Linked DNA regions of Callithrix jacchus. The main gene of each other region encodes a partner of the protein of the gene in region 3 in a complex. Links are inferred from orthologs where the notes say so. Each region holds a gene or a part of one and is shown on either strand. Other genes may lie near its edges. The genes, in order: SH3BP5, ATF2 and MAPK10.

Region 1 (2,577 bases), on a different chromosome or scaffold from region 3:
GAGCCACCTCGCCCGGCTGGCTGTTTAATGTTCTTAAATAGCACAAGAGACTTCTATGAACTTTCCTAAATGAAATATTTAGTAGGTAAAACATCTGTAAATATTTCTGAAACTTAAACCTCGATTGGCCAATGAAGGACCTTTTTCTCCACAGCATGTTTTAATAATGAAATGCAGATTAAGAGTCCACCATTATAACATTTCCACAAGACAAAGGATCCACCTGATTCTCAACTCTGAATGCACATTTGAAATCCCCTTGGGGAGCTTTTAAAAGTCTGATGCACAAGTGTACCCCCAGTTAATTAACTCTGGGGAAGAGACCTGACAGCAACACTTAAGCTTCCTAGGAGACTGCAGTGTGCAGCTGAGGCTGAGGACCATTCCTCCAGCATCACCACATCATCTTTATTTATCTGTCACTGTGTCTCCTCATTGCCCATAGCTTTAGCAGCAGCAGAAGTAGAACTCAAACCTTGGTAATCAAGGCTTAAATTACTACTGTTCTTCAAAACCTTAATTGAAAATGATTACTGGTGACCACAGCACTCCATGTTCTTCCTTATGGCAAGAGGGTGGCATAGAAGATTTAGACAATACTGGGAGTTCTTATTTGAAGTCACAGAGGAAACTTTTCTCAAGCGGTTTTTATTACACTCAATGTATTAAGACAAGTACAAAATAACCTTGTAATTAGGATACTGTATCAGTCAAAAAAGGAGGAGTCACTGTTGTATGAAGAGATTTACAAATGACTAAAATATACAGGCTGTGACAGAATTAACAATTTGAAAGAGGGTTTTTTTAGAAATGCTAAATTTTCTTAACAAAACGAGACAAAAATACAGTGCTCTAAATATGCATTACCATGAAAACATTAAAGAAAAGCAGTCTTAACACTTACTACTATTAACATAACAGACTCTGTTGCTTCTATTTAACAGCCTTTGCCAACACATGCCCACTCCCTTTCCTAGCTTTAAAGAAGTTTCCTCTAAGGAATACTAGTGCAGCATAACCCTTAAATAATTTCGTTTATTTTTAAAGTTACAACCTACAGATAAATTAACACCTTGTCAATCTAATAACAGTGGCAACCATTCTTCACATGCACTTCTCTTAGAATAAATCCCCTTAGCCGGCAGAATAAGGTTTATGCTGTAGAACCTTCTCCCCCACAGCCACAGATTCCCTTCTATGATAAGTCCCTCCTACCCTCATGCCCCCCCCATCCCCACTGGCATTCACCTTCCCCATCCCAAAAAGTGCAGCTCTTGGTAGCCTTTCTAGAAATGGTTTTAATGGGTATCTTAGCATACACGCTTTTTAAAAAGCCCCCTCTGAACACCAGAGGTGATGAAAATGAGTTGTGTTCTTGGATTTTTTTAAGCCTCCACCGGGTCAAAAATATGTGCTCTCAATACTTGAGTTTTTGCTTTGTATGTGGGTTTTCCTTATCATTTAGCTATCATGGGGTAAAAGTGGAGTGAAATCTCCATTTTCCCATTCAAAATTGAGGGTGAGAAGAGAAAGAGAAGCAAGCTGTTGGCCCCACTTTGGCTTAGCTTCCCAGCCATCTTCCCAGCTCTGGTTCTTTCATAGGAACTAGTTATTGCTTCCACAGTGCCATTACAAGGAATGTTCCACAAAGGCTGTGAACCTGGTCACAGTCTGCCTGCGACAACTCTGCTCTGAAAAACAAACCAGCTCAGGACTCTTACCCAGAACCATCTTCAGCCCTCAAGGTCACTGAAACTTCATTAGTGCAGTTTAGAGTAGACGCGTAAGATTTGGCATATATTAAATGATTATTGGCACAATGTTCTCCAGTTCCATGTATAAATGTTGATACGCACATGGGCAGGGCCCAGGATGAATCAGCCAATCTGCACCATTTTTATGTCAGCAATAATCCCATCTCTTCCTTTTGAGCGCTGTAGGGAGAGCTGCTTCATCCGGTTCTCCAAGGCCTGGCCCTCAGGGGAGGTGCTGCTGTGGCTCTTACTGCTGCCACCACCGCCACTGCTATTGCTGAGGCCCTGGTTGTTGTTGGCTTTGTCACTTGTTTTATTTTCTGCCCCTTCTGCCCTGTCTCCTATAGAAATACAAAGATTATCAAAAGTGAGTCTTGACAATTTTAAGTCACTTTGGGCTCAAACCAACTAGCTAACTCAGCCCTGTGGAATTCCCAGTGTTGCCTTCTGTGCCTATCCGGGAGGTTCTGAGTATGTAATCACTTACTGCTTTTATTCCTTGTGATGTTCTATATATTCCTTGACTTTAGAGATGAAATTTGCCATATTCACTTTATAGCTGAGAAACAAACCTTTCTACTATGTGCTTGCCAAGGAGACTGTTCTGATGTGAGACACAGGACCTAAGCCCTACTTTATAGAAGCTGAGTGGAGCCAGGAGCCTCCCCAGAACAGCACTTGGAAATAACCTCAGTGATCAACACTGACAGCACAACCAGAGACCAGGTAATGCAGCACGGAGGGCCAGAGGCCTGGCAGAGATACGACACGGCACAAGAGTCAGGCTACAGAGGCAGTGTGTGTCATCTGAGACAGGGTGAGA
Region 2 (3,732 bases), on a different chromosome or scaffold from region 3:
TAAAAAAGAGATTCATACCAACCGTCTCTTAAAAATACAATAATAGTTTTACTCCTATAATCATATCAGTTAAAAATAAATTTTCTAACCACAGCGTTGCAAACAGCAAAATTTAATTATTTTAATTGTATCTTAAATGTATAACCCATATAGCAGTATTAAAAAAAGAAGAGAAAAGTTATGGATTTACTTAGGACAATGTCCAATTTGTAAAATGAGACAAATTCTCATCAGAGAGATCTTGGGAGCTACCAGTAAGAACTGAAAGAAATGTCATCTGGTGACCGAGTAATTTTATATTTTGTGTGAAATAGCATGAAAATAAAACTATCTTAAATTCACATTCTCTATTTCAGTTGTATTTATCTTCCATTCTGTTAGTTAACATTTATACCAAAGAAGACTATACAAGTACTTTTTCCAAAAACTGATGCACACACACACACACATACACACACACAAAACTAAAATCTTAATTTGAATAATCAAATGTCCTAGGAAGAAATCATAACTAAACAAACTTAATTCATATATATGTTCAATGATTGGTCTGAATCACTTACACAATTGGCCTGTTAGAGGATGGTGCCTGGGTGATTACAGTACTTGAGGTTGGTGAAGGTACTGCCTGCTGAATAATGACACTTGAGTCAGAACTTGTTAGCAGCACATTGGGAACCTGTAATGATGCTGGACGAACAATAGCTGATGTGGGCTGTGCAGTTTGTGCCAATGGTACTTCCTATTTAACAATGAAATAAAGGGTGGCATTAAAAAATACAAATCAATTCATGTACCAAATCAAGTATGAACAGAATATAACATACTTCTAAAAGCATCTACAGAATAATAATTACTAAAAGCAAATATCTAAAATTAAAATTCAAAGAACATTGAAGAGCTGTAAAGATTCAAATGCAATGTTCAATTAACATTTTAATTTTAAAAGACTGTTTTGTTTGTTTTAGTACAACTTGTTTTCCTGTCAATCCAGAAATAAGTTAGATTGGGCAACTTGGCTATGAATCCATTAGAATTTTAATAAAAAATAAAAATATAATTTATTCTCAGAGAATCACAGAACTTAAAATCCAGAAGGGACTGTTTAGTCCTCCTCCCTCATTATACCGTATGAAGAGGAAATAGGTCCAATGGACTGTTACGGTTGATACAAATTAACAGTAATACTTAAGAATTTTTAGAGCAATACAAATATTTGTTAATTTCAGGTAGCTACCTCTTCTATATCAATAATTTCCCAATATCAAAAGGCCAGGTAATACTGATATCTTGAATGTAAAATAAATAATTACTAATCTCTTTCAAGTTAGGAAAACAGAATTTCTTAGTCAGCCAAGACCTTAAATATAGTATTTCCTCTAATTTTATAGATTAGAGAACAAAAAGATTAAAAAGATTTTACCCAGAATTCCTTAAATAGTCAATGTAAAAATTGGGTCTATTGTGTTCTTTGATTTGGCCTGTAGCTGCCACTTACCAAAATCTTATTAAGCTACATAGGAAGAAGGATAAACTAGTACTATTGTAACTTTATTTATTCAATACGTTGAAAACTTATGCTCTCAAGGACTAGTGAGAAGAGACAATAAACAAGTAAAATACACAAGAAAATTTCAGATTGCAATAAATGTTAAGTGTTACAGAATAATACATGCAATATAATAAAGAAAGATTAGCTTGGGGAGAGGAAGAGGCAGTTACTTCTTTGCAAAAACAGCATTTGAACTAATAAAGGATAAGGAAGAGAGCATTTCATTCTAGGGAGGAGGAAGCAATACCATATGTCATATCCTGAGGTGGGAAAAAGCTTAGAATATTTGTTGAACAAAACAGACAGGCATGAGGTGTGGATAGACGGGAAGACAGGCCCAGATAAAAGAGGGTTTATGCCAAGGAGCGTGAATTATCTTAAACACAATGGCAAACCATTCAAAGATTTTAAGCAGATGACATGTTTAATATATTAAAAGTAATCTTACAGAAAATGGACTGGATGTAGAACAGGAAGACCAGTTAGAGAGTAACTGTTAATAATCCAAACAAATGATGATGATTTGGGCTTAAGTGGTATCACTGAATACAGCCATAGAGGATGAGATTCAGGTCTGATAAAACATGCTGTTAGTTTCAGTGTAAAAGAAAAGAAGAAATTAAGAATGATCCCTAAATTCTTAGCTAGAACAACTAAAAGGATAGAGAAAATTTACTGAGATGGGGAAAACTGGGGAAAGAATCAAGGACTCTGATTCTGATCTATTAAGTTTAAGAGGTCTATTAGACATAGAAAAGATAACGTCAAAATGGAGTTGGATATAAATATGGCAATCTGGTAAGATACCTAAGTCCACAGAAATTTGGGAGTCATCAGTATGTAGATGTTTATTAAAATTATGGATCTGGATGAGATCACCTAGGAAGAAAATCAAAAAAGAAGAAGAGCCTCAGATTTTTTTTTTTTTTTTTAACAATTTCATATGGTATACCTTGCTCAAGGAGGGCCTAATGACTGGGGAATGCAGAAAGAAGGAATACTCCTAAAAGACGCTGAAGCAGCCATGAACAATGGAAAGCTCTTAAGTGTGAAAAGAACGAAATACTATCTAGGAGAAAAGATTTATATCAGAGATTTAAAAAGCATTTCTAATAACTGTGATAATGTGGAAACAATCTTTATGTCTAAAAAAACCAGGATAACGTAATACATATCATATAATGATAAAATAAAGTACAACCATTAAAAATTATGATTTGGGGAAATTTCTAAGGACATGGGAAAATAATCATTAATGCTGAGTGTCTAAAGCACAATATAAAATGAAGCTAGGACCTTTGTATCCATCCATCCTATTTAACTATTCACTTATATATTTGTAAGTATAAATGCATATATCTAGAAAAATGTTTCAAGACAGTAATTCTTATTCAATTGTGTGCTAATAAGTGATTTTTGTTTTCTTTTCATTTTTCTGTATTGTTAGAGAAGAATAATGAGAATGTACTTTTAAAATCAGAAAAAGAAAATGGAAAAAAACCCAGAAAACAAAGCATTTATTCTTAGGCAAAAAGATGTTTTTTCTGTATTTTCTTCTTTCTAGCTCCTCTGCCATAACAGAAGTCCATTAATAAGTTATGGTTTTAGAACAATAATCTAAAAAAGAATATTTCCACTGCCTCTTTACGTGGCCCACTGCTTCTTTGCTGTGTCCTGCATGGTACCCCCAAGTAAATATGTATTTATTCTATGTGCTTGTGAACAAAAAAGTGATCCAGAAGTTCCCATAATAACATTATTCAACACACAACTGGTCCAGATTATCTGGGTATTCAAGCTATTATCATCATCATCCCAATTGCTGTAGCAAAGGTCCATTGCTGAGAATGAGTAAGTAGCCCCTTAATTCTGTAAAAGTCTAAAAAAACCATTGTTCAACTGATTTTTTTAATAGATTCTTAATTAAGCTGTTACTGTATAAAAGTAGCTAAAGTAGCAAAACCCAGAAAAATCAAGTTAAATTTATAAATTTACATATCTTTTTAAAAAATAAGTTTTATCTAATATGACTAATATCCCTATAATTTTTCTGTGTACAATAAAACTGCAGTCTTCTTATCCCAAAATACCTGAGTATTGACAGGTTTTCACATATAAAACTATTGCAAGCTGACAATGAATGAAGTAAAATTTAATACATTAACATTTTATGAAGATTA
Region 3 (4,227 bases):
TTAAAGTAAGTCTTTTAACTTTTGTTTATATTTTACATAATTTATTTATTTATTTTTTAAATACAGATGGGATCTTGCTATATTGCCCAGGTTGATCTTGATCTTGAATTCCAGGGCTCAAACAATTCTCCTGCCTCAGCCTCCTGAGGTGCTCGGATTACAGGCATAAACCACCATGCCCAGCCAGTTTTATAAATTTCTTTTAGCATTTAGTTTTAGCTACTTAAGTTTTTGTGGCTACTGTAAGCAGGATTTTTATATTATATTTTCAAATGGTTATGATAATACATGAGAAAGTTCTTAATTTTTGTATGTTAATTTTTTAAAGTATTATTGTTATTTTTGAGACAGGGTCTCACTCTGTTTTAGTGTCTTGGTATGATCGTGGCTCACATCAGCCTAAACCTCCTGGCTCTCAAACAATCCTCCCACCTCAGCCTTTAGAGTAATGGGACTACAGGTGCATCCCACGACGTTTGGCTAATTTTTTTATTGTTTACAAAGAAAGGGTTTCACCATGTTGCCCAGACTGGTATTGAACTCCTGGGCTGAAGTGATCTGTCCACTTCAGCCCCCAAAATGTTGGAATTACAGGCATAAGCCACTGTGCCCCACCCCTCATATGTTAATTTTATAACTAGTTATCTTAATTTATCTTTTATTGCTTCTAAAAGTTTTTCAGTTGATTCTTTGGAGTTTTAATATTATTTGCAAACAAATGACAATTCTGAGTTATTTATAGTTAATTTCTTAATTTCTATTTCATATCTAATTGCATTGGCTATCATTTCTATTGTTCCCGTGTGATAGTGAGTGTTCTTGTCTTGTACTTGACTTCAGTAGAAATAATTACAATGCTATGTTATAAAGGAAGTTGCTGCTTTTAGTATAACATGTATATATAATATATATTTAAATTATTCTGAATTCTAATTTGTATTGGGAATGATACTGATTTTACAGAATCCTTCTCAGCATCAGTTGAGATACTTATAATGTTTTCTTCCTTTGACTTATTAATATAATCAGGCATATGAAAAAACTTTCTATTATTGAACAATTGCCATACTATATACATGAAGCAATTTCTCTTAATTTTGGCATATAATTTGTAACATAGTTCTGGGTTCCATGTTACTATTTTGATTTTTACATTATATCTCAAGGGAATTTAACCTATATATTTCCCTTTTGTGTGCTTTTTATCAGGTTGTATTTGAAAACCAGCCTTTCAGCTTATCCAAAACAGAGGGATTACTGATGAAAATGCCTTGAGGGCAACCACCTGAAATGGCCTTAATGCAAAAAAAAAAAAAAAAAAAGAAAGAAAGAAAGAAAAGAAAAGAAGAAAAAAGCTAGTAACACCGTGGTTCGTAGGTTTGCCTACCTCAGCAGAAATTTACAACACTATACTTGCTATACCTCCTTTCTGATGTAAATTCACAAGCTATTACAGCCATTAATTAAGGATATTGCTCTTCTTTCCAATAAATACATAAACTTTCTTTCAGAGGCAAACAGAAACAGATGTTCCGTGAAAGTTTTTGTTCTTCCTAATCTACCTTTCCCACCTCCCTGATAGAGGAACCAGAACAATTAAAAATGGGGGGAGAATAAGGACTCCAATCATTCACTTCTGTCTCCAGGCCAGGGAGCCTGGCCTGTTATTTACTTTCACCACTCAACCCTGCTGCTGCTCTCCAGTTTTTGCTGTTTTCCTCAGCTGACTTTCCTCATCTTTGCTGCATTCATCAAAGTCCAGTGTAAATTCCCCTCTTCCATAAACTGAGGAATCCAGCCCATTTTACATAGTGGACTTTCTCTTATCTGCTACCTGCTCAAAGGTTGGCTGTTCATTTTAGCTATCATTGTTCTCAAATTCTTTCAAGAGTGCTAGTCCTGGTTAGCTCTTTGAGGGCAGGGACTTATCTTAAAATTCTGCTGTGCATTTTCCGCTGTGTTTAGCCCTGTGAGTAATCACATTCAATACATACTTGCAAGGCATATTTGACTGAAGATATCTATCACAATTATTCATTTAGTAAACGAGATAATGAAAATTCAAGTGCTCACCAAAGATAAATCATTACTATTAATTTCCTCATTCATCATACATGTATGGCAGCCTCAGGGGCTAGGGAACCTAGGATTGCAGCTTTGACTTTCTTGGGGAAGCTAAACAAGCCTCCGTTCTCTCCACTTTGGAACCAGTATGAAATTCAGATTTACCTAGGGCTCAACATTAAGGTTCTCAGACTAAATTTACCTCAGGTCCCTTTTCCAGAGTGGACCAGTTTACCTTATACCTCTGAGAATAAACCAAAACTTTCAAAACTCACAGGATACTATTTGCTCATGAATTCAGCAAGACTCTCTTATTAACTACTGGAACTCAAATCTTTCAGCTTGCAGAAAGAAGGGGTCTAGCTGCCTGGATATACCTTGGCCAAGTTTCAGTGTATATAGAAAAATGGGAAGTTATCGACTATGTTAAACCTTTTCCTTAAATTTTCAAACTTCGGGATTATTTTAGTCTTATAGAGAAAATAACAAGGCAAATGTTTACAAACTTTTTTTTCAAAAACATGAGAATTCAAGTTTTCTCTAGGGCCTTTAGCGTTGTGCTGTCACCACACCTTTGAAGATCGCTTTACAATCCTGGGAAAACTCACCGGGCTTCTTTTCGTTGACTCCGCCATTTCTAAGTTGCTATACTGCTGCAAGGAGCTGGCAAAGCCGTGCTCTTCCTCTCCCCCCTTCTCCTCATCCTTTCAAAAGCCAAAGCGCCCGGTGAGAATATAGAAACAAGGCTGCGAGGCAGGGAAGAGTAAGGGAGGAGCCAGCACTTATGCACTTTTCACTGTCCCCTTCACTCCCCGGGTCATAAAGTTCTGTTTCTGAAGTTAGAAGTGTGGGGACCATCGGCTGCATTTTCAACTTGGCCTACAAGTTGGAGTTCACACTGCAGGCGCTAGAACTTTGCCGCTCAGTCACCAACCTGAGCTTCTGGCTAGTCCGAAGAACGCTAAAAGCCAGGCCCAAGGCACCGGTTGTCATAGCAACCGGGGCGCTGGTCTCCCCGGCGACCTCGTCCGTAGGGAGGAGGCGGAGCTGGAGGCCAGGCGGACCAATGAGATCGAGGGGAGCTCGGGGTCGGAGATCTGCGGCCCTCCCAGAGCCGGGGAAGGGTTGAGTGACAGGACCGGGGGGCGGAGCCGGCACGGCTGCCGGAGGTGGAGTCGTAGAGATGCCAGTAGCTTCGGCGGCCGAGCCGAGGAGAGGGTGACAGACTGTGCTCATGGCCCCCAGAGACCGTGGTGCTGGCGAGCCGCGCTCTGTAGCTTCCCGGTCCTCCTCGGCAGCGCTCTGAGTCGCCTGCAGGAGTTGAGCCGCCCGCACCAGAAGGTTTTGGCGAAGCTCTTCGAGGGGCGTCGAGCACAGTAGGGCGGCGGGGTGCGTCGAGCGCTCAGGGGTCAGGCAGTCGGCAGGGATCGCGGCTGGAGGGGCGTTTCCGAGGCGAGGAGGAGGAGGAGATGCTGCTCCTCTTCTCCCCCTCCCCAGGCTCCTTCTCCAGCTCCTTCAGCCCACGCCCGCAGCCGCTTGGGGGAGAAGAGGTGGTGGCTCTCGGCGCCCGCGGCGGCTGCCGGCGGCCCGCCCCGACGCCGCGTCCCCGCAGCCCTCGCCCGGCGCTCCAGTAGCAGGACCCGGTCTCGGGACCAGCGGGTAAGGACTAGAGCCGCCCTGGGCTCTGCGCTGCATGTTGCAGAAGTGCAAAACAAAGTACACCGCGCTCGCTCTCTTCCTCCTCTCTCTGCTTTTGCTCCAGTTCCTAAACCCAGCTCCTCTGTTGCCCTGGTAGAAGTAACTTTTCTTTGGTTGTGGTGGTGGGTGTTTTTGAACGTTAGAGTGGGGGTGGGGTGACTGGAGTGGGGAAGAATGAGATGAAACTCATGGCGAATTAGGTAGATCCATCTCCTCCGCGGAAGAAAGCCGGATTCTCCGGAATGAAACCCACAGGGGGAGTAAGAGATTGTGGGGTAATAGGGAGTGACATTGCCCCATCGTGCTTGCACAGCTCCGTTCTGTGCGTGCTTAAAGGAAGGGCTCCCGGAGTCTGTTTCTAATTTCTGCAAATGATTGTGGAGATGGTGTGGTTAGAGGCCGCCCAGAAGAATGTGTATGTGTAAGGGCTTGAGAAGGGGGTGGGATGGCGGGGAAGCTGAGGAA

What was found.
Region 1: the proteins of MAPK10 (region 3) and SH3BP5 are in contact, whole or in part, in a crystal structure (PDB 4H3B), measured with the Homo sapiens proteins. The link is inferred for Callithrix jacchus from reciprocal best matches to the Homo sapiens genes MAPK10 and SH3BP5. Residues at the interface, in NP_620448.1 of Homo sapiens: Lys121, Asp150, Ala151, Gln155, Val156, Met159, Leu161, Glu164, Arg165, Tyr168, Tyr171, Val197, Lys198, Ser199, Asp200, Cys201, Trp362, Asp364, Glu367; in NP_004835.2 of Homo sapiens: Val341, Val342, Arg343, Pro344, Gly345, Ser346, Leu347, Asp348, Leu349, Pro350.
Region 2: the proteins of MAPK10 (region 3) and ATF2 are in contact, whole or in part, in a crystal structure (PDB 4H36), measured with the Homo sapiens proteins. The link is inferred for Callithrix jacchus from reciprocal best matches to the Homo sapiens genes MAPK10 and ATF2. Residues at the interface, in NP_620448.1 of Homo sapiens: Asp150, Ala151, Gln155, Met159, Glu164, Arg165, Tyr168, Val197, Lys198, Ser199, Asp200, Cys201, Trp362, Glu367; in NP_001243019.1 of Homo sapiens: Lys48, His49, Met51, Thr52, Leu53, Lys54, Phe55.

What each region holds. Positions count from the first base shown.
Region 1 is NC_133518.1:54,069,957-54,072,533, forward strand, and holds the end of SH3BP5 (SH3 domain-binding protein 5), read right to left. Parts: intron 2,096-2,577; coding exon 1,878-2,095; 3' UTR 633-1,877; downstream 1-632. UniProt on the Homo sapiens protein: Functions as a guanine nucleotide exchange factor (GEF) with specificity for RAB11A and RAB25. Inhibits the auto- and transphosphorylation activity of BTK. Plays a negative regulatory role in BTK-related cytoplasmic signaling in B-cells.
Region 2 is NC_133507.1:54,331,838-54,335,569, reverse strand, and holds part of ATF2 (cyclic AMP-dependent transcription factor ATF-2), read right to left. Parts: intron 743-3,732; coding exon 564-742; intron 1-563. UniProt on the Homo sapiens protein: Transcriptional activator which regulates the transcription of various genes, including those involved in anti-apoptosis, cell growth, and DNA damage response.
Region 3 is NC_133504.1:110,986,312-110,990,538, reverse strand, and holds the start of MAPK10 (mitogen-activated protein kinase 10), read right to left. Parts: upstream 2,801-4,227; 5' UTR 2,673-2,800; intron 1-2,672. UniProt on the Homo sapiens protein: Serine/threonine-protein kinase involved in various processes such as neuronal proliferation, differentiation, migration and programmed cell death.